3 linked regions of the Elephas maximus indicus genome follow. The protein of the gene in region 1 interacts with the protein of each later gene in a biochemical or structural test. Links are inferred from orthologs where the notes say so. Each region holds a gene or a part of one and is shown on either strand. Other genes may lie near its edges. The genes, in order: KDR, SHC2 and HSPG2.

Region 1 (7,594 bases):
AAGTGATCAATGCTGGGAAGCACCCAAACTTAGTGTGATCCCTAACTCACATCAACTAAGAACAAATGACTCTCTGGACCTAAACTAGCATTGATCTTGCTGGGGAAATAAAGAGTATGAGCAAATATGGGCAAGTAAGAGAGAGTATGAGTAAAGAGAGTATAAGCAAATATCCAGTGCATCCAATCTGTGGACTCCAACGTGAATAACTACAGGCAAAATGAACAAACTGATCACCCATGTTCTCACACACCCACATAGTTACTCATCAATAACACAGTCAAAAAAAAATGGAAATTAATTACATCAATAAGCCTCAGAAACTGTCACTGGTACTGACATGCTGTGTTTGAGGCAGTGGTTCTTAAATCCTAGGATGTGTCAGGCTATCCTTAGGCCTGTGAAAATGCATTTTAGCAAGGATTTCAGGTGACTCTGACATAGATGGTCTAAGGGCCACTCTTGGACAGCTATTGGTCTGGTTTGTCATATTCAGTTAATTAGCTAGCACACCATGTTTCAATATGAAGAAATTAACTGCCCCCAAAGAATGCAAGCAATAAAGCAAAATGTGGAAAAGTAAAAGAAATGCCTTTCAATAATGGAGTCGCACTTTGCCTAAGAAAAGGAGAATGAAAATTCACTTGTGTGAGCATAGATTTCAGACTTCACTGGGAAACAGCAGGTTGAAAAACACGTTGAAAGCAGAAACTTACTACAACTCACACAATGATCCAAATGAGAAATAAGTCATTATTTGGGCACATTCACGTGAGAGCAAAATGGTAGTAAATGACTAGGCTTAAAATAAGCTATGCTTCCACCATCACCAAAATAAAAGATTCTTTAAGATCTCTCCAAATTATTGCCACAAATCATTCCACACTCTAGACACACTTTGCTATGTAAAAATTAAACATAAAAAAGATGTGTTCCCCATTCATAGGAAGCCAAGACAACACAATACTGTTCTACAGACAAATCTACGACAAAAATCTATTCAACAAGCTATCAATAATGATAACTTCAAATTCATCATCTTTCGGCCAAGGCTCAATTTTTTTTTCCTCCGTTAAGCTTCATACATTTTTATTGGCAAATTTGAGCTCTACTCTTCAGAAAGTTCTGAAGAAATGACTATAAAAGATACATATCCTTCTACTCCATAACAAGGCCTGCTATGTTCAAGTTCCATAACCAATATTAATTAGTTTGTGCACTATTACCCCTTCCAGCTCAAACACAGGAAGGAAAAACAACAGTGTCTCTGTCTCTAGAATTGGATGGCACCAATTATAGCTCAATCCAATTAATTAAGCCACATACTCCAAAAGGGCAACCTCACCATTATTCAGGGCAACTCTATTACCATTACTACCGCTGCGCTATGAAACACCCCAGGCTTAAAAGCGACTCACTTCTTTGTGGGATACAGAACAACCACATGTTCCAGACATTCATTCTCTGCCCATGAAGGGAGAGAGAGGGCCCTTGTCAGGGTCGAATGAGTGTCCAGGGTGGAGCAGGGCCTGGTGAACCAAGTCTTTATTCAGAAAATTCAATAACTCTAGACAGATGATCTTGCTACTGTAAGTGAGTAGAAAAGTCTTAAGACACGTGATTCTTTTCTTTCAAAATAATAAAAAATAATTTTCCTAAACATTTGACTTTTTTCCCCCTCCAACCTCACGTAATCTGGAAATCAGTAAATTATGGCTACGGAGAAGGAATGTTATCTGGGAAACGTTAAAAAAAAAAAAAAAAAAGTTATGGCACTAAGAGCGTTTGTGTTCCTAATCTTAAAGGAGACCGCAATGTTAGGTGGCAAGGGAAGTCGCAAGTGGCGCTAAAACTGGGTATGAAGTCCGGCAGACCTGGTCTTCAGGGCGAACTTCTGACTATGCGCTTACCGCAAGGACAAAGCCGCTTTAAAAAACGTTAACACTGTTTTACCTTGAAAGGTGACTGTCACTTAGAGACATTCGGGAAACCTGTCACAGCCCCAGGGCCAAGTCCCAATTTCCCCTACCTTCTCTGTTTTTTCTCTGCGAGGAAAGAGGCGCCCTGCACCAAGGAAAGGGGGGAAAAAAAAAAGGTTCCCTCTCACTGGATGCCATCTCTTTGTGGTTGTGCTTGTCAGTTCAGACCAAGAGGGAACGCTGGCCGGGATCCCCGCTCCACTCTAGCGGAAGTAGAGCTGAGTGCACTGGACGCCCTGGGACACCAGGCTTACGCTCCTTGCAGGGCTTCATTCCCAGCGGAGGAGCTGCCTGTCTGCACCCGGACTAAAATAGTGCGCCCAGCCCTTAAGACTTTTCACCGCCTGTTCCCCGCCTGCGGGGCACCTCCTGCACGCCTGCCCTGGGCGCCTTCCTATCCCCGCCTCCGGGAGCCCGAGCGTGCGTCGGCTGGCTCGCAGGACACTCTCCAGTCGAGGCGCCTGTCAGAGACCAGAGCCGTAGAAAAGGCATCGTGTTAGAACTCAGTAGACCACCGACTCGCTGGGAGGTCAGTCTCCGAGCCTCAATTTCCCCAATGGTTAATTAAACAGCACTAAGCGTCAAGTCCTTTCCAACTCTCCAGCTCTAAGATTCGAAGTTATATCGGGCCGCCATGTCCTCCACAATCTGGATCTCTCCGTGCGCACCCAACCTGTCCGCCTCCCTCCCAAGGAGTGGGCTTCTTACCCCCGGAGGCAGCCCGGCTCTCCATGCACAGCCACAGAGCGATGGCTAGGAGCGCCTTGCTTTCCATCCTGCACTTCACGCCGGGCGCAGTGCCCAAAACTCAGACGCGCGTTCCCGGAGGGCTTGCCTGGCGAAGAAGGCGTGAAGGCGAGACGCGTGCCTCAGCGCAGCAACCCGGAGCGCGCAGGGCGAGGGTGCCCCGGCCCGGCAGTTGCTGGAGAGGCGTCTGCGGGCGCTTGTCTGAGAGGAGATCTCGGCTGAGGGACCGGCTCTGGGCCTTCTACAGGGAGCAAATGATGCCCGTGGCAGAGGAAAGGCAGCGTCAGCACACCTCCTCTCGCCCGGGGTCCCCGGACTCACTGCCGAGTAGGAACCAGGCAGACACTCTAGAGCGCTGAGGCGGGGCGAGGTGAGGCGGGGCTGCGGGCGGGACTCCCCTGGGCCACAGGTCCCGCCCCTCACCCGGCCGAACTGGGTGTTCCCGGGACTCCGGGGCCTGGATCCCGCTCCTACAACATGCACTACATCTCCTCACCTCTACACCTGCCCGGGATGCGCCCGGCCCCGAGTCGGCCCGGGTGCAGCGCTCCGGGCGCAACAACTTAGTTTCTGGTGGAAATAAAATGTAGCCGGTAAAGGGCTCTGAACCATTCCAAGGTTCAGTCGGCTGCCGGTCCCCGAGATACGAGAAATATCACCGGAAATGCAGCAAGGGGTGCGCCGCGTCTAAACTGTATGCGGGATTAGGTTGGAGGAGCAACCAGGGAGAAGCAGATACTGAGCCGAGACGTCTGCGGGGTCGCAAACCCGCAGTGAACGTAGACACTACGAGTGTTTTGTTTGGCCAGCACAGTTGTACTTTGAAAATCTGACTCTGAATGTCTCAGTCTGAAAATACAGTTCCCCAGTTCCCGAAAGTTCACGCGGCTTCAAATATTTTGAACTTATCTGCTTAGCCCCAGAAGGCTTTCAAATTTGCGACTTCTGCCTAGCTCCTAGCCAAAAGCTTAAAGCAGGGCTTCAGGGAGCTGAAGGTATCCCGGGCTCTTGCGTACCCGCTGCGTGAGTGGCCTCCGTCCCTGGCATGAGACTCTCAAGAAAGGCCTTTTGTGTCCGGTGTTACTGGACAAGGAGCACCCAGCCTGACTCTACTTGGACTCTTAGCCAGCAGTGGCTTCACTAAAGGGGTGCAGGGGTTGCGGACCGCACCAGGTGACACTGTCAGAGGCGGTGGCACCAACCTCCCCCGGAGCCGGCCGTGGGCGCGTGGGCCTCCCCCGCGCCGAGCGGCGCCGCGGAACACGCACACAGTCGCGCGCACACATACACCTCCTCTATAAAAAAAGTTTGTTTTTTTTTTTTTAGAGGAGCTCGGAAAACCCGGGCACAGCCCAAGAGCTGTAAGACTCCCAACTACATTCCAAAAAGCCCGGTCCTCTGGAGCCCTGGACTGAGCAGTTCATCTTGGAGAACTGCTTCCCTCTCTCCCTCATGGCAGGGGAGGGGGCGCATGTCCTGGGGCCTTCCAGCCGGTAGAAACCCTCCAAGACAGCAGAGTTTTATTTAAAATTTTTTAAAACCCAAGTGGGGAAAACTAATCAGACTTAAAAACACCAAAAACGTCGCCAGTACCAACCTGGATGGTGAGGAGCAGAGAGGACATAAGACATATAACATAAGAGCAGAAACCGCTCGGTCAATTCTTGGCTCGCTCTGCCTCGCTTTCCAAACCTAATCCACTAATGTATCTCACGTAAAGTTTAATGTTAAAATGAACGTGATTTTGATGTAGTTCTTAAATATTTTTACTTCGAATTCTATTGTTTCCTTACTGAATTTTCACTTGAACCAAGTGAAATGTAAATACATTTAGGCTGTGCGTATGATAGAAAACTGTAACTTAAAGGTGTTAAAGGTGTCATTTTAATTTTCCTACTTGTTTATATCACTACTATTGCTATTACATTCAGTGATATATGGGAATTACGATTTATGAATAGTATTAGTAGAACTGCCCCACACAATTTCCAGTGAGCAGCTGGTGGATTCAAACTGCCACCTTTTGATTTGCAGCCAAAGCTTAACCACTGTGCCATCAAGGCCCCATAACATTACTAAGAATTCTGTATGGTCTGGTACTGGAGGAGGTCCACGGGGTGGGGCAGCACCATGAGTTACCACACTGAGTAACACCAACCCTAGTGATACCACTGTTAGCCAGGCCCCTTTTCAGAGTCTGAAGTTCCTGCCCAGACAACCTGAGGCTGAGCAATGAAGCAAAAACTCCCATATCCTAGGCACCCAGAACACCCAGTGACCAGACCTCACCACTCTTTCCATGAATGTAGACTACTTGTGGTGCTGTTTGTAGAGAAACTAGCATTTTTTCATGACCATATTTCTTTCTTCTTGTTTTCTCTTTATTTCTCTTTACATCCAGGGAGTGACATCAATTGTCCCTTAACTTCATTAAATCATCACATGTCCCCTAACTTCATTAAATAGGAGTCTCTCAAATCCCTCTGTCTTTTACTTCCAAGGTGCATGCAAGCGTGTTTTCATAGCAGCTGAAAGAACTATCCCTTCAGCAGGATGAAGAGGAAGAATTTAACCCTACATTTAGTCCAAAACCCTCCTCTGGAAATACACAATCATCATCAGGTGTTGCTTTTCTTCTGCTATTTAAAAAATACATTTCTTTACTCTTCTACTTTTCCAACTTGATAAATGAAGTATTTTAACTCTTTTTTAAGTATAATAAATGCATATGGGTAAATTTTTTTCCAAAAATACGAAAAAGTTTATAGTAAAAAGACCTTTAAAAAAAAAAACAAAAAAACCTTTCTTCAACAGAGGCAAGAATTTTTACCAGTTCCCTTTTTCCAAGCAAGTTCTATGCCCTTATACGCAGAGTAATCATCTTCCTTTTTCACAAATGGCGGCCTTGATAGAACTGTTGTTTGAATCTTGGCTTTTTTCACTTTAATATATACATTGGTGAGCACTCTACATCACTCAACCCTCAGAGCGCCATTTCATTCTTTTTAACGGTGGCATGATGTCCTACTCTACAGATATTTATCTAGGAAGTGTTGTTGAGGAGTGTTTTTTTTACTGGGGAAGGTCCTTAAAGAAACACCTCTCCTCCTGCTAGCAAATTTAAGAAGTAAAACAGATGGGCTCTGGCAGAGTTGGATGAGGAAGAGGGAGGTGGAATGTGGTTTGGTGAAGGCAATTTTTCTCCATCTCCATCTTTAGACAATTCTCTCTCAGCCTTATTTACAATTCAGGACACTTCCTCTTCCAGATCTCAAGTAAGAAGATAGTGTCTCCTCCTCCAAATGCAAACCAGAACCTGCAGGCCCTTGGTAATAGCCCCGTTTCGATGTCTTGGAGGAAGTGATGCATCTTTGATGGCCACAGGACCAGAAATTGGCAGGGTCTCAATGAAATCAATCTACCACATTCCCTCCCACACAGCACTTAGAAGGGCCTTGTGTTCTTGAAAAATGAGAGTCTGTTAAAAAAAAAAAAAAAAAAAGTGTTCCATGTGCAAAGCTCTCCTGTTATCTGGCACCACTGCAAAAGAGTGACTTTGTGAATTAGTCTGGCAGTGCAGGTATGGCCACCATCTAGCACAGTGTCTCAAGAGTGTTCAGTGATGGCGTTCAGACACACACCTTCAGAGGAGCAGTGAAGGGCAGTAGCTAAGCACGCAAACTGTAGGCCTACACTGCTTGTGTTTGACTGTCAACTTACCACTTACTATCCATGGGGGCTTGACCAATTTACTGGTTGCTTATCTACAGAACACAAAAGATGATAATATACCTTCTCCACAGAGTTCTTCTAAGAATTGAATGAATTACTACATGCAAGTCACTGAGAATAGGACCTAGCACCTGGTAAGCATAGGACCCTACACATAAGCACCTGATACACCTCAAGAAGTATTTTGCAAAGGTTAGTTATACTACAATGCATGGTCTACTTCACGCTGCCTACCTCTAAACTGCAGTAAGGCTCAATCATTCAATAACAGTTTTTGAGCATCACTATGTACTAGGAACTGGGGTTGTGCACACGGAATATATATTGCTCATATCACCAAAGCACATAAATTACACCTCATGACCCCTGAATTTGGTTCCATCACCATCACCAGTATTTTAGACTTCAAATCTTAAAAAGTAAATATGAAGATAAGCAAAAGGTTAATAATTGTGGAAGCTGAATGATGGACCTGAAGGGTTCATTTTACTATTCACTCCACTGTCAGAGTCTTGCTGTGGTTAATACACAGATTTAGAATGACACTGAGTTAATCTTTCCATCACTGTAGGCATCAGATTCCCGAGCTGAGGCACAACTAAGATATGGCACGTTGGGCAGTGCCCTGGGCGCCACTTAAGGAGGGGCGCTAATGAGCAGTTTCTGTTGGCCATGGAAGTTTCCATTGCCAGCTGTGAGAGATGGTTCAGCAATTTAAAACCAATTGCCATAGGTGTTATTTTCCCTAGATAGGCCCCTGGCTTCCTCACTGGTAAGTGAGAGTAATAACTCTTGCCTACCCTCCCTCAAGGATTATTATGAGACTCCAATGAGACAACCTCATGAAAGTGCTCTGTAAACTGTAAAATACGTTATAATCATGGTGGTATTGATAATATCACTCAACAGTACTTGTTAAAAGGTCTTTAATTGGCTGGCTGATTATGCCTTCCAAACATACCCTCTAATTTGAAAATTGCTTTCAACTTTAAGAATATCAGCTGTTCATGGTGATGGCTGAACAATATGCTGAACGTAATTAATGTCACTGAACTGTACATGTGAAGATTGTTGAAATGGCATTTTGTTACCTATACATTTACCATAACTTAAAAATAAATAAATAACTGTTCAAA
Region 2 (7,262 bases), on another chromosome or scaffold:
CTCCACACATATTGTAACATGTATGAAGACTTCCTTCCTTCTACTCGCTGGGCAGTATTTCATGGTCTGTATGTAGCACGTTTTCATCATCCATTCATCTGTTGATGGGCATTTAGGTAAATGTAAATTTTAACTGAAATTAAATAAAATTAAAAATTCCTTCTGGAAAAGGCAAAACCATAGAGACAATGAAAAGATTAGTGGTTGCTAGGGGGTCAGAGGGAGGGGGAGGGATGAGTGCATGGAGCACAGGGCATTTTTAGGGCAGTGAAACTATTCTGTCTATTACTGCCGTGGGTGACTTAGGACATGTATCTGCCAAAACCCATAGCACTGCACAACACCAAGAGGGAACCCTCATGGAAACTGCGAGTTTAGTTAATAATACTGTATTATTGGCTCCTCATTTGTAACAATGTATTACAGGAATGTAAGATGGCCTTAAGAGAAATAGTAGAAAATGGGGAGGGGCATATGGGAATTCTGTATTTTCTGCGGAATTTTTTTCTGTAACCTAAAACTGCTCTCGGCAGGAGAGCTGTGGGATGCAGACCCCAAATTCTCCTAAAGAGACCAGGCTTAATGGTCCGACTGAGACTAGAAGGACCCCGGTGGTCATGGTCCCCAGACCTTCTGTTAGCCCAGGACAGGAACCATTCCCAAAGCCAGCTCTTCAGACAGGGACTGGACTAGACTACGGGATAGAAAATGATACTGGTGAACAGTGAGCTTCTTGGCTCAAGTAGACATGTGAGACTATGTTGGCATCTCCTGTCTGAAGCGGAGATGAGAGGGCAGAGGGGGTCAGAAGCTGGCCGGATGGACATGAAAAGAGAGAGTGGAGGGAAGGAGTGTGCTGTCTCATTAGGGGGAGAGCAATTAGGCATATATAGCAAGGTGTATAAAAATTTTTCTGTGAGAGCCTGACTAGATTTGTAAACTTTCACTTAAAGCACAACAAAAAATTTTTTAAAACTGCTCTCAGAAATAATCTATTCCATGACGGAATATATGTAGTTCAGTGACAGTGATATATATATATCACAATTTAAAAAAAAAAGTCTATTAAAAAGAAAAAAAAGTTAATTCCATTCCTCAGTCATATTAGCCACATTTCAAGTGCTGGATGGCCATGCATGGCTGGTGAGGATGACCAGATCAGAGCGCGCAAATACAGAACATTTAATCAGTGCAGAAAGTTCGTTTGGACAGTGCTGGTCTGGACCCCTGGTCGGCAAACTACAGCTCTTGCTGCCTTTTTTTGCTAATAAAGTCTTATGGGGCTGTGGCTGTGCCCTTTCATTGCACACTGTCCACAACAGCTTTCACCAAAAGTAGGGCTGAGGTCTCAGGACAGAGACCTCCTGGCCTGCATAGCTGAAAATATTGGCTCTTTGGCTCTTTACAGGAAAAGGTTGCAAGGATCCTGGACACCCAAAAAGTCAAGGTCATGGGAGGGTGTAAGCCGTGTTCAGGGACTGTTCTATAGAGAGAGCAAAGAGACATAACAACCAAGTGTAAACATGGTTGGTCCTGGCCCCAGAGAGCTAGCCCGGGGAGATGTGAACACAACCTCAGGTTCCAAGCCATTCTGGAATCACTAATCATTTTTCTAGATGTGATCTGGGGCTGTGGGTGTGTGGGAGACACGAAGGTGTTTACAGGTGTGCCACCGTGGGCGGAGTCCCTGGGTGCTGCAAACAGTGAAGGCCATAGCTGCCAACTGAAAGTCAGCAGTTCAAGTCCACCAACAGCACCCTCAGGAGGAATTCCTGTCGATCCGCTTCCAAAACCTTAGTCACTGAAAACCCTATGAAGCACAGTTCTCTGACACACGTGGGGTCTCCACGGCAAGCGGCACTAGTGGGCAGCTCGCTTTCTAATGGTTTATCAACGGCTATTATGTACAGGAGTCGATATACTGAGCGGAGAGCGCAAAACTCGAAGAGTCCCAGGTGGAGGACACGGGGATCCACTGATTCGGCTTTTCTGTCTGCGTGAAAAGGTTCCCAGTAACACTGGGATAATGAACAAAGGCCGGTGTCTCTCAAGTCTCAGCTCCCCCGGCGGTCTGGCTGGGCATCGGCCCCTTTCCAGATACCCCTTCTCCCACGAGTCCACACCCCCATCCCAGGCCACGGTCTCAACGATCCGATCATCTGCCTTGGAGCCTTTAGGGGCGGTCTGGGCGTTCCTCTCCCGGGGACACAGCAGTGCACCCTGGGGTCCTCACTCCTGGACTTTCCCTCCCTGCCGAAATAGGGGTGCTACCCTGCGCATGCGCGTCCCCCTCCCACCTGCCCTCTCCCCGCCCCTCCCCACGTGACGCCGTGGGAACCTGGGCCCCAGCGTCTCCCCGGCTGGAGATGGGGGTCCGAGTGATGGGGAGAGGAGGGAGGATGGAGCGGGGAGTCGGGTTCTTGGGGTCCGAGGGATGCCAATGAAAGGAAGTGGGGTAGCCCCAGTACCCGAGGCCCGGGGAGGCCGCGACCGCGGGTCCTGGTCTGCGCACTCACCCGCACGATGTAGGAGACCCCGGGCCCCAGGACCCGGGCATCCGGGTGCAGCCAGCCGTGCGCCGGCTTGTGGATGAAGCTGCCCTTGCGGATCCATTCCGCCGCAGAATCCGGGGGGCCCGCCGCTCCCTGCGCGCCCCGCGACCCCCGCGCCCCCGCCGCCCGACAGCGGCTCAGTGCTGGCAGGGGACACTGCGCGGCACAACGCGGCTCGCAGGCGCCCAGGACCGCGGCCGCCAGCGCCGGAACGCCCGCCGAGCCCGCCGCCTCCGGCTGCGGTTCCGCGTCCCCCGCGTCCCCCGCGCCCCCCGCTGCCACCGCCGCCCGCGGCGCCGGGGGCCCGCGACCCAGGAAGCCACCGGGGGCAGCAAACTTCCACTGGGGCATACGCGGCAGCAGCGCGCAGAAGGTGGTGGGCGCCTCGGGCTCGGGGGGCGCGGGGGGCGCCGGGGGCGCGCGCCCGCCCGGACCCTGCGTCATGGCCGCGGCCGCTGAGCGAGCCCGACCGGGCGTTGAGCCTGGCCAAGGAGGCCGCCGGCTCCCGCCCGCTGCCGCCAGTCCCTCCCCGCCCCCGGCCCGGTGATGTCATCCGCCCGGCCCAGCGCGCAGCCGCGGGGGGCTGCACCCCTGGGACCCCGGCCCTCTGCTCCGCAGCGCCCGGGGAAACTGAGGCCCGCCTAGGGCTCGGGCGTTGGCCCGCATTCGGCAGCCGGGGAAAGGAGGGTCCAAGGGATACCAAGGAAAGGAAGTGGGGTAGCCCTAGCACCCCCCGCCGCCCACGTTCCTAAAAGGGCAGGGCTGGAAGACCCCATTCTTCCCCTGTTGACCTATGGGAAAACTGGGACCTGGCGAGGAGCGGAGGTGCAGTCCGGGGAAGAGAGAGCCGAGTAGTCTAACGTCAGCCCCCTCCCTGACCACTGTTCAGGCCGAAAGGTGCCTAGAAATCCCTCCCTGCTTCGTTTCCTAGGGGGGAAACTGAGTCCTAGAGAGAGGAAGGGGCGCGCCCAAGGTCACGCAGCTGAGGCTCACACCCGGAGGGCCGGGCTTGGGCCTGCTGGGTCAAGGAGGAGCACTCAGAGGGCCGGGTCCCTCCTCCGCCCCATCCCTGGGCCTCGGGCTGTGGGTCACAGCCCCTGCTCGCCCCATTTCCGGGGAGCTCTGTCAGGCATCAGCTCAGCGGAACCCTCGGGCCTCAGGGACCCTCAGTTCTCCGCCCCGCCCTCCAGGCTTATTTTTTGCACTAGGGAAGGGGGTGTCACTGTCACCCCAGGACCCAGCTTCCTGGCCCCTTATCTTCGCCGGACCCCCTTCTGCCCCACCCCCCATAAGGGCTGACTGCCGGGAAACAAAAGGAGGCGACCGGCGCTGGGGCAGGTGGTGAGCGAGGGAGAGAGAGCCGAGCCGAGCAGATCGATAAATCAGAGCGATGAGATCACAGCCCGGCACCGCCCTCGGACCCAGGGGAGGAGGAGGCAGCGCCGGAGGGCAGGGGGAGGCAGTGGGGGCGAAGGGAGGGGGGAGGCGGTGAGGGGTGTAGGAGAAGACAGCAAGGGGAGGGGGAGGCGTGGGGAGGACACCGGGGGGCCATAGGGGGCCGGTGGGACCGGGAGGCGCGCGCTGCCCCGATTGGCGGCTGAGGGCGTCGCGGCTGGTGCCCCAGACTCTGGCGTCTGTGTTCAACCAGGGGCCGAAGGCCGGTGGGTGGAGGGCGTCTGCTCTTTCTGACGGCCAGGGGTCCTGGGCGTGGATGTCTGTGTCCGGGCCCCACATCTAACGTGTGTGCTTCGTGTCAGTATTGGGGGGCTATGTAAAAGTGGATCGCAGGAGGGTTGCGGTGTGTGGGGACGTGTGTGTACAGTGTGGACAGGTGTGGACAGGTGTGAATGAGGCCATGCATGTGTGGAGGGGGTCCGTGTGTGTGTCAGTGTCTGTGTGGAGGGGGTCCCTGTGTGTCAGTGTCTGAGTGGGGGGACCAGTGTGTGTGTCTAGCAAAGGATTGTGTGTTCAGGCGTGCCAGCCCCCAGCTTGGGGGGGGGGAAGGGGTAAGGAAAAGGCTGACACCCACCATGCTCCCTTGGGGTCCCACCTGCAACACTGCCCTTGGAGCTGCCTCCTCCAGGCCCATGGGTGGGGGGCTCACAGAGGGTTTGGTGACATGCCACCAACCCATGTATTTCCTTCCTCTCCCTAGGAAAGAGTGGCAGGAATGGAGCCTGATGGCCAGGGTTCAAACCTTGCCATCAGAGTGATATGGGGGGGGGGGTCGAGTCCCAGGTTGTTCTCCTCCCAGAGTGCCCTTGGACAAATGTCCCGTCTCTCTAAAGCTTCATTTCTCTCTGTAAACATCACCTGCCTCCCAAGTTGCTATGAAATTTAGATGACCTTGATCAACATCTGGAAACCCTGGTGGTGTGGTCGTTAAGAGCTATGGCTGCTAACCAAAAGGTTGGCAGTTCGAATCCACCAATCGCTCCTTGGAAACTCTATGGGGTAGTTTTACTCTGCCCTTTAGGTCACTATGAGTCGGAATCAACTCAATAGCCACAGGTTTGTTTTTGTTATCAATATCTGGTACATATCTGGCAGCTATCAGGATACATTGAGCTCCTACACATCCTTCAAAACGCAGCTTCAATGCCCCTTCTTCCAGGAAGCCTGCCTGGCTTTCCCACTCAAAGCCCTGGCTCCACCTCTGGCCCCCCAGCCCCAGGTCCCTCCCCTAGTCCCACCCGGACCCCCCAGGGCTAGACAGTCAGGGTCTGGCTCTGGGGGACAGTGTCCAGGTCTCCTCCCTATGACATGGGGATGTACATGTGTGATGCTGACCATTATTGGTGCCAAGCAGCGATTTATTGACAGGCAACTCTAGATGGTGGGTGGACAGGGGCATCGGGGCTGCTTCCAGCCTGATTGGGGCTTAACCCAGGACAGGCACCTTGCTTCCAGGAGGCTGAGAGAAGAGCCCAAGTTTGGTGGAAACCGGAGCTGCATCAGGGATCCAGGCCCTAGGGGGCAGACGCAGAGTTCTAGGACACAGGAAACTCATTCCCCGCCAGCAGCTGGGGAGGGCTGGGTGTCCCTTTCCCCACCTGGCCTGGCCTGGTGTGACCAGGAGAAGAAACTGGGGCGGTGGAAGGAGGCTCACCCTGCAACCCATGCAGGGCCTCGGGGTCACAGCCCCCAGGGACTGACAGAGGATGGTGACCTAGAAGGGCCTCGGACAATTCAGAAAAGGGGGGGGCAGAGGCGGCTTTCCCTGGGCCCCTCCTGTGGCTTCTCTGAGCCTTCTCCAGACAAAGCCAGGACCCACCCATACCCCACTTTACTGCGGGGGAAACCAAGGCTTGTCTGGATGCAGTAGCAAGCACCCTGCAGCCATGGGCTGTCAGGGTGTGGTGTTCCCAGCCACGGTGACAGCCCGCTTGGAGTGACGGATGCCCATGGTGAAGGCTGGGGCCCTGGCCTTGTGCACTGTGACCTGCTCTGGGCTGTGGGTGCCAGGGCCTGGCGTTGTGTCAGGCAGGCGTGGTGCGCGAGGCCGCCCCAGCATGGTGAAGGCTGGCCGGCGGTGCTGGTAGGCATTGGGGTCGGGGATGTCATACTGCCCCGGGCCTGGTATCTCCGCCGGGTCCTGTGAGGGGCGGATAGGGGGTGTGCGGCCCACCACTGTGTAGCTGGGGCTGCTAGGCTTAATGAAGACCTGGGAGCCCCAGAGGGAGGGCAGGGTGTAGGCATTGGGGGCAGGGGCCGAGGTGTCCAGTGGCTGCGGGCAGAGGCGGGGGCCCAGCGTGAAAGCCGGTGGCGTCCGCTGGCGCACGGGGGGCACCTTCTCCGGGCTGTAGGCGCCTGGGCCTGGCGTCACCTCCAGACCTGTGGGAGGACTGCAGAGTGGGCACTGCAGAGGCCCCTATCTCTTCCCTCCCTCCCGGACCTCCAGACACATGGTCCATTCTCCTTCAGGTCCCCCAGCCTCTGCAAGGCTCAAATTCCCCCCATCTCCGCCACCTTGATGCCCTCCCTCCAGGCACCCCCTCCTGGGTCCCCCTGCCCTGGTCCGCCCTCCCTCCAGACATGACCACGGAGAGACACGGTGGTCCTCGTCTGGGTCTAGGTCCACCGCCAGGCTGGAATCTCATAAAAAGCAAGGACATAGTTAACCAACCTCAGCTCCTCACAGTTGGCTGAACACATGTTTGCTTGTGTGGACACATGAGTAGATGGATGGTGAGTGGGTGGCTGAGAGAGCAGCGAATGGATGGATGGATTGAGTCCACGGACGGAGAGGTGGATCAGTTGGTGGGTGGAAGGAAAGATGGTTGGATGGACGGACGGACGGACGGACGGATGGACGGACTGATGGATCAATGGGTGGGTGGAATAACAGATGGGATGATGGATGGCTGGATGATGGATGGATGGATGGATGGACAGATGGACGGATGGATGGACGGACTGATGGATCAATGGGTGGGTGGAATGGCGGATGTGATGATGGATGGCTGGATGATGGCTGGATGATGGATGGATGGATGGACGGACGGATGGACGGACTGATGGATCAATGGGTGGGTGGAATAACAGATGGGATGATGGATGGATGGATGGATGGATGGATGGATGGATGGATGGATGGATGGATGGATGGATGGATGGATGGATGGATGGATGGATGGATGGATGGATGGATGGATGGATGGATGCATGGATGCATGGATGGATGCATGGATGGATGGATGGACGGACGGA
Region 3 (7,950 bases), on another chromosome or scaffold:
CCACTCTGCTCACATGACTTCCAAGTCCTGAACCCAATCAGTCACCTTCTGCTGCCCTCCTTCCGTCCCTCTCCTGGGCCGGGCCTCAGACCCACAGATGCTGACTTGCCTGTGCTCAGCCTGAGAACAGGCCCAGGCCAAGCCAGGCGGGGTCCAAGCCAGGCGGGGGCCACAACTCCCCTACACAGGAGAAGGAGGCTCCACCTCTGCCCCTTCCAGCCTCGGCCTCCCTCCCCAGACTGGGAATCCCCGGAGTACACTCAACTCCTTCCCAGTGGGTCTGGAGAAAGGGGGCAGGGTCAGGGGACAGCTATGTCAATGGAAGGGCTGAGGTAACTCTGCAACCCACTGAGGAGCAGCCAGGAAGGAATGGCTCCTCCAGTTCCCGGCCTGCAGTCTCCCCAGCTGAGGCAGGAAACAGGTATCTCAGTGACTTCCCTCCTCAGCCCTGGGAAATACCGTAATCACTGTGGCCTCCTCAAAAGTTCTCTCTCCTGGCAGCGTTGGCCCCAAGAAAGGAAGGGCTAAGGCCCCAGCAGGAAGAAAAGGGTCAGCAGGCCAAGGCAGGCCTTTAGTCACCCAGGCTCAGCCCCTTCCCCCAGCAGGCTCCCCACCTCCTCTGAACTTACTCCCTCACTTAATCACAGACAACTGTTTCCTGCAGTCCTGTCTCCTGTTCCTGGTGAGGTCCTGAGCTCCCTAAGGACCATCTTACCCTCTGCTTGTGTCCTACCCACACCCAACCCACTACTGGCTGGCAGACATGAACTGGAAGGCAGAAGAGATAAAAGGCAGCAGGCAAGGAGGAGCTCAAGGCTTACTGGGGCACTGACCTAGGAACCTAATCTCACTTATGACTCACAACAAACTTCTTGCTCCCATTTTACAGGTGAGGAAACTGAAGCTCAGAAAGAAGAACTTGTCCCTGGTCACACAGCTGGTAAATGGCAGAGCTGTTAGGCTATGAGCTCTTTGCAGTCTACCACCATCAGCTTGGAGCGGGAGAAAGAGTGAAGACATCGGTCAATGTGGTTGCTGAGGAGGTCTACAGCCCCACAGGATCAGAGGTGTCTGTGATCAGAGCTCCCAACTATGGCCCACGAGCCTGTGAGTTCTGGGAAAGCATAGACAGGGCCTGTTCTTACTCACCAGTGTAACCCCAGCCTGGTGTCTGGTGCACAGTAGGTGCTTGGCAAATAGCTATCGAATAAATGAACAGCTGTACTCCCAGTCACCGCCATGGAATGTCGCTCAATGAAGACTTGTTGAATGAACAAGTGAATGAGACGGTTGGCTGCAGTTCGGGAATCAGAACCCCCTACGTGGAAATTCCTCACATATAGAGCAAACAGCCCCCACACCCTCCCCATTCCTGCCACTGTAAAGCCTGTGCTATGTAGCCAGGAGCCCCTCACTAGGGGGCAGAGCAGGGGGAAGGTCAGGAAAGGAAGAATGGAGGGCTGTTAAAGACATCCTATGTGCTGGGGGACTGAAGGTTCTGTGGGGCCTTGGGGAAACAAAAAATCAGTGTTGGGAGTGGCATGTTCAGATGGGAACAACTGGATGTGTCCAGGTGAAAGGCTGAGACAGGGCATTAAGGCGACTGCCCAGATTGGGAGTGGAGGAGGTACTAGGTGGATGGGGCAAGTGGGGTGAGGGGTCAGGCCTGGGGTGGGGGGTTAACGAGTGACTCAGGAGGGCAGAGGTGAAATGAAGCCATCAAGGCAAGAAAGGGAGTCACTGGTGGCCACCGATTCAGTCACTGGGTAAACACTGGCCCAGTAGAAAAGTCCCTCTGCAGGCTCCAAGGACAGCAGGGTGGAGGCAGGGACCGACCGTGACCACCTCAAAGGGGTTTGGGACAGCTCTATGGCTCACTGTGCTGGGCAAGCCCAGCTCCCCAGATGTGCTCCCACCCACATCTGCCACTAGCTCCCTGCCCACTGACCGTGCCCCACCCTCCTCAAGTTCACTGAGGTCCTCCTGGGGCCTCTCCTGGCCAAGCACCTTCTAGGCTGTGGGATTCCTGAGCCCAGGATTCTCTCTTCCTTGAATGGGCCCATCCAAGCTCTGAGCAAGGCTCCCCCACTCTGCACCTTGCGGACCTAGGAAAAGGAAAGCTGAGGAAACTCAGATCCACCGGGGGTCCACTGCACACCAGGCCCACACCGGGCACTTTCACTTACATTCCATCCAATCCTCCCAGCCACCCTGAGGCTATGCACTTTGAGGCTATGCATTTCCAGTTCCCTGTACACAGGGAGCCGGCCTCAGACAGGTTGATTAGCTTCCCCAGGTCACACAGCTACTCAGGGCACTGCAGGGATTCAACTCCTGAGCTGTTCTGACTCCAGGGTCAGAACACAAGCCTCAGATCTGTCCCCAACGGTTCTTTAATTGCCCCTGCGCTGGTACAATCTCCCCAACGGGAGAGATGGCAAGGTAAAGGTCAAGTGAGGCTTGATAGGGTCCCTATCACCACTGAGTGCCCCTTCTGCCAAGTTGGCGCAGAAGGGGGTGCCCTGGTCCTGCCAAGTTCCCACCCTGCTCGAACTTTCTTCTCCTGGTCCCCAGAAATGGCAGGCCAGGCCACCATGCCCAGCGCAACTCGGAGACTCGGCAACGTGGCCCGAGGACCCACAAGCTCCCACTCGGGTCGGTCTTGCCCCCAGCCCCACGCAGGGTTCCCTGAGCACCCTCCGGGGCAGTCCCCACTGCACAGGAGGGCGCCAGCCTGGGCCGGCCGGGGATCCCTGGCGGGCGCCGCCTTCCTGAGTTGGAGTCCCGGCCACGCAGCCTCGGGCGCCCCCGCCAACTTGGTGAGCTCGGCGAGCTGGCCCCGTGGCGCCCCCCAACCCCTCCGCTCCGAGCACTCACCGCTAGCAGCTGTCCATGCAGCAGCAGCAGCGCCAGCAGCAGAGCGCCCGCCGCCCGCCGCCCCATGGCCCGGCCCGCTCAGCTCGCTATCTCCTCCGCGCTCGCCGGCCTGCTGAGTCCTCAGGACAGCGCGGCGCGGCCCGGCCCGGCCCGCTCCCTACCTCTCCCGCCCCTCTCCGCCCGGCCCCGCCCACGCTGCCGCCCGCCCCGCCCCCGGGCCCCTAGGCCCCGCCCCGGACCGCCCCCGGGCCGCCGGCTTAGCTCGTCCAAGCCGGCAGCGCAGCCAACTGGGCCTTTGTCTGGGCCCCCAGCCCCCGCCCCGCGGGCCGCAGCCCAATCCGGCTCTCCGCCAAACCCGGCCTGGAGTTTCGGGTGGGACGGGGGCCCTGAGGCTCGAGGGGCGCCAGAGCCCTGAGCGCGGGACCGCTCCCTCCTTCCACTCGCACCCCCTCCCGCATGCTCACCTGCACATGCGACAGGGCCCCACCAACTTTCAGACAACTAAAACCCGCTCTCACACCCTTTCACACTCCACAAGACGTGATTCCACACACAGGCCACTTCAAGAACTGCGAACGCACGCAGGCGCACGCAGACACACGAGCACACACACGCAACTTTCGCACACATCACGCACACCCGACACCCACGAGCAGCTTTCACCTGGACAGTTTCATACACACCCACGCAGACTTTGACAACACGTTCACACCCACAACTTTCACGCATTAGCGCACTCGTACGAGACCCATGAACACTCCACAGACAAACTTTCACACTGTTGCACTCACCTTTGATATACTAAAAACTTTCCTCACAGGTTCACGTGACACTATCTCTTTACAACTTTCACAGACTCAAGCCCTCACCTATACAGGTTCAGCCATTCACATTCGATTCACGTTTTTACACACAGACTCACATAGGTCAATCCCAACAAGGCAGGAAGAATAAAGACAAATTTTCACACACGAATTCCTCACAGAGGCTCACAGTTCCCACATAGGCCCATGTAGTTTCTCACGTCCATATCAGTCTGTAGTTTTTACATTTTCTTACACAAATTACAGTGCCTTACAGGGGCACTCAATACTCACTGAGCTCACTGAATGCCCACTACCCGCACCACCATCCACGTAAACCACTCATAGACCAATTCTAACTCACATAACACCCCAGAGCCAGAGATACACCAACATACACACCCAAGGCCCGGACACGGACAGACCCTGCCAAAGCCCCAGTCACGGATGCTTGAGTACTAAATCACAGCCCCGGATGATCCACCTCTGACCCAAGCTCACAGGCAGCACAGACCATGCCCGCGGGCCTTAACACTGCCTACTCTCAGGTCTTTTCTGCCTGAAAATTTCCAGGGCAGCCCCAGGCTAATAGGTGGAGAAAAAAACTGTTGTGTGTATGTTTCTTGAAGCTTTGAGGAAAACCTTTGAGTAATGATAAAGGGAGGAGAATAAAAACTGAATTTTCCATTGTTTCTTCCATGAGTTGCTAGGTTCCAGAGACTCAGGACTGGGTCTGCAGCCAGGAGTGAGGTGAGCTGTGGATAGAAACAAATGCCCGCACTAACAGGGCGGCACCAGGCCTGGCTCCGGAAGGCGTGTTCTCTGCGATAGGGTCCTGTGGGCTCCCAGACATTCTGGGGCCTTCCACCAGGGCACCTGGGACATTGAAAAAATGCTTGCATCTGACTCCTGTCCCAGCCAGATGTCCCATCTCCAAAACTCTGGGTTCTTCTCTGCCCTGTGGGGCACACTGTTGGGGGTCCAACTCAGAGCTGTGAGGGGCAATAACTACATCTGCACTGGTTCAGTCAACTCCCTGGCCCCAACCCAGACCTCAGGCACAGCAGCAATGAATAAAGCCTATCTCTGCTTCAGACAGGGAGATAGGGGTGATCAGGGGAGGGAAGGACGTCCAGCCTCTGCTCTCAGATGGGGAAAAAGGACATAGTCTCTGTTCTCATGGAGTTCTCAGTCTGATAGAGAATCTCAGCTTTATCACCTACTACCTGCTTAATCTTGAGTAAATTATTCAACTTCTCAAAGTCTCAGTTTCTTCATCTAGAAAATGAGGATAAAGTTAAGACCTCCTTCATGGTGTTGTTATGAGGATTAAGATGAATTTATATATATGAACCAAAAACCAAACCCAGTGCTGTTGAGTTGATTCCAACTCATAGCAACCCTATGGGACAGAGTAGAACTGCCCCAAAGAGTTTCCAAGGAGGCCTGGTGGATTCGAACTGCCGACCTCTTGGTTAGCAGCCGTAGCACTTAACCAGTATGTCACCAGTGTTGTTCCCAATCTGATGGTGAAATGCAGTCCCCATGCCAAGGGTCTGTAGTCTGATAGAAGGTGACAGCTTTGCACTTGGGAACTCCCTGTCTGATGAGGAAGGCTTCAAAGCTCCACTGACTTCAGGCTTGGCAGGTGGCCAACCCCAGTGGCAGGATTTTTCCAAGGCTTTGCCTGTCCGTGGAGGCTCAGCATCCATGACAAATCACGTTTCGTGAGCTGTCTTGGGTTTGTTCCCCACCTCGGGCCCTTTAAGTCCTAGAGCTTTGGCTTCTTGGATGATTTGCTCATGAGCAAAGGGGAAAAGGAGAACAAGCAACCCTTTGTAGATGTTTGGTCAAGGCTAAGCCAGAGCTATAAGTCTGCTTCCTAAAAGAGTTTGAGGAAAGAGAGTGTAGGCTGACTGGGGACTGGAAGGAGCTGGGCTGACGCGGAGGGCAGGAAAATATGCCCTGTCTAGAAAAGTCTTACAGAGCAACTCCACCCTACCCCACCCCTGAGGATTGGTCATCCACCTATTTATTCTGCATCCTCTCCCTCCCTCCTAAGAGATTTGGCTGGGTCTGTTTTATTTTGCAGTCCCTGATATCTTTAGTCACGCTCTCAAGTTGCTTTGTCTAGGCCTTAGCTATCTCCTCATATGGCATGGAAGAGGCACAGAGGCAGAGCTCCTGGGCTTTCCGTAATTGTACTGTATGTACTCACAGCTCAGGGTGCTCCTCACCCTCTTTCAAAGAGAAGCCACTCAAGTCTCACACAAGGTTCTTTGAGTAACGAGGGGCTGCATGAGTGGGTAGGCAGGGATGGCCCACCAACCTGAGAAACAGGAGCTGGGGAACTTCTGGAACCAGCAGCAGGGATTTGTGGTTCATCTGTCCGTCCCTCCAAAACTGAGAGGACCCAGCTCTTCCTGGCTTCTGTTCCCACTCTGAATCTTTTCTCTGCCTCAGAGTTTCTGCTCACTCATCTTACTTATGTTCCTTTGTTTATTCATTTGTCCATTCAGGGTTGCGGTGGACGATTGAGCAGGTTGTTCACTGAGCTAGGGGTACACAGCCAAGTGGCCAAGTAGGGGCTGCAAAGCACCCTGGCAGATGCAATGCTACATCTGCCCACAGGGGGTGCCTTTTGTTAATATGCACAAAGGCTCTGTATGGCCTAGCAGCTGGTGCTCCTGCATTCATTCAATAATGAAATTAAATACCTACTAAGTGCTTTTAAGTGCAAGGGCTTCAAGGCTTGTGTGGAAAATAGATGTTGGCAGAGTGAGGATCTATGTTTTTGGATGGAACAGGAAATTGGTGTGAAAAGGAATTGGAATGGAGGAAAGGAAACAAGGAGATGGGGCTGGAAAGAAGAGGAAGAGGAAGAAGGAGACAGTTCTAAGCAAGCACTGAAAGTTTCCGTGAAAGGGAAGGACCCCACGAGACCCGGCAAGATCCAGCCCTGTACACCTCTCCAGCCACGTCCCTCCCCGACATGGTCTTTGCAGGTGCTGTTCCTTCTCCTAGAATATTCTTCCCACCCAACGCTGCCCCCCACCCGTCACCCTACTTCTCTCCTTCAGGATTCAGCTCAAGCGTTCCATCTCCAGAGAACCTTCCTTGACCTCCCAGGCTAGGTCATGTCCCCTGCTACACTTTCCCACAGTTCCTTTGCTTCCCGCTCTTCACATTTTGACAACTGTAATAATTTGGAATATCATTTAATCTTATGAGGCATGATGAAGGCAGGGAGTCCATCTGTCTTGTTTCTGTCTTGTTCTCAACTATGTCCCCCGTGATGAGCACAGTGCCTGGCACAAAGTTGACACTCAAATAATTTTTACTTGAATGGAAGAATGAGCTGGTTCAAGCATGGCATAAGGCTTAAATGTAATGTCCCTCTCCTGGCTTGTACAGCGAGACTTGTGAGAGCTGGAACTCAACGGTACTGCCCTGTTTTTCTGGTTCTCGAAAGTTTTCTGCCTTTTCCCGCTTGCAGCCTTACCACTTTTCTATCGCTTGTTTTAGTGGAAAATATTTGAGTTTTCCCTACCTGACAGGTTTCCCTCTTAAACAGATTCTGGCTTTCACAGGTTTTACTGTATTTTCTGTATTTATGGATAACTTTGAGAAGAATGAGAATTCCAGAACACTTAACTGTGCACATGAGGAACCTGTACATACACCAGGAGGCAGTCATTTGAACAGAACAAGGGAATACTGCATGGTTTAAAGTCAGGAAAGGTGTACATCAAGGTTGTATCCTTTCACCATACTTATTCAATCTGTATGGTGAGCAAATAATCCGAGAAGCTGGACTATATGAAGAAGAACACAGCATCAGGAATGGAGGAAGACTCATTAACAACCTGCGTTATGCAGATGACACAACCTTCCTTGCTGAAAGTGAAGAGGACTTAAAGCACTTACTGATGAAGGTCAAAGACCACAGCCTTCTGTATGGATTACACCTCAACATAAAGAAAACAAAAATCCTCACAGCTGGATCAATTAGCAACACCATGATGAACTGAGAAAAGGTTGGAGTTGTCAAGGATTTCACTTTACTTGGATCCACAATTAACTCCACGCTTTTTTTTTTTTAAGCAGAAGTCAAGAAATCAAACGGCGTGTTGCATTGGGCAAAATCTGCTGCAAACTATTACGAGCCCAAGAGACAGAAAGGGCCACATGAACCAGCGACTACATCATCCTGAGACCAGAAGAATTAGATGGTGCCCGGCTATAACCGATGACAGCCCTGACGGGAACA

What was found.
Region 2: the proteins of KDR (region 1) and SHC2 form a complex in vitro, tested with the Homo sapiens proteins (2 studies listed by BioGRID). The link is inferred for Elephas maximus indicus from reciprocal best matches to the Homo sapiens genes KDR and SHC2.
Region 3: the proteins of KDR (region 1) and HSPG2 form a complex in vitro, tested with the Homo sapiens proteins (2 studies listed by IntAct). The link is inferred for Elephas maximus indicus from reciprocal best matches to the Homo sapiens genes KDR and HSPG2.

Annotation. Positions count from the first base shown.
Region 1 is NC_064823.1:106,202,227-106,209,820, reverse strand, and holds the start of KDR (vascular endothelial growth factor receptor 2), read right to left. Parts: upstream 3,062-7,594; 5' UTR 2,755-3,061; coding exon 2,688-2,754; intron 1-2,687. UniProt on the Homo sapiens protein: Tyrosine-protein kinase that acts as a cell-surface receptor for VEGFA, VEGFC and VEGFD. Plays an essential role in the regulation of angiogenesis, vascular development, vascular permeability, and embryonic hematopoiesis.
Region 2 is NC_064821.1:236,144-243,405, forward strand, and holds the start of SHC2 (SHC-transforming protein 2), read right to left. Parts: upstream 3,073-7,262; 5' UTR 2,997-3,072; coding exon 2,517-2,996; intron 1-2,516. UniProt on the Homo sapiens protein: Signaling adapter that couples activated growth factor receptors to signaling pathway in neurons. Involved in the signal transduction pathways of neurotrophin-activated Trk receptors in cortical neurons.
Region 3 is NC_064821.1:62,192,528-62,200,477, forward strand, and holds the start of HSPG2 (basement membrane-specific heparan sulfate proteoglycan core protein), read right to left. Parts: upstream 3,029-7,950; 5' UTR 2,944-3,028; coding exon 2,878-2,943; intron 1-2,877. UniProt on the Homo sapiens protein: Integral component of basement membranes. Component of the glomerular basement membrane (GBM), responsible for the fixed negative electrostatic membrane charge, and which provides a barrier which is both size- and charge-selective.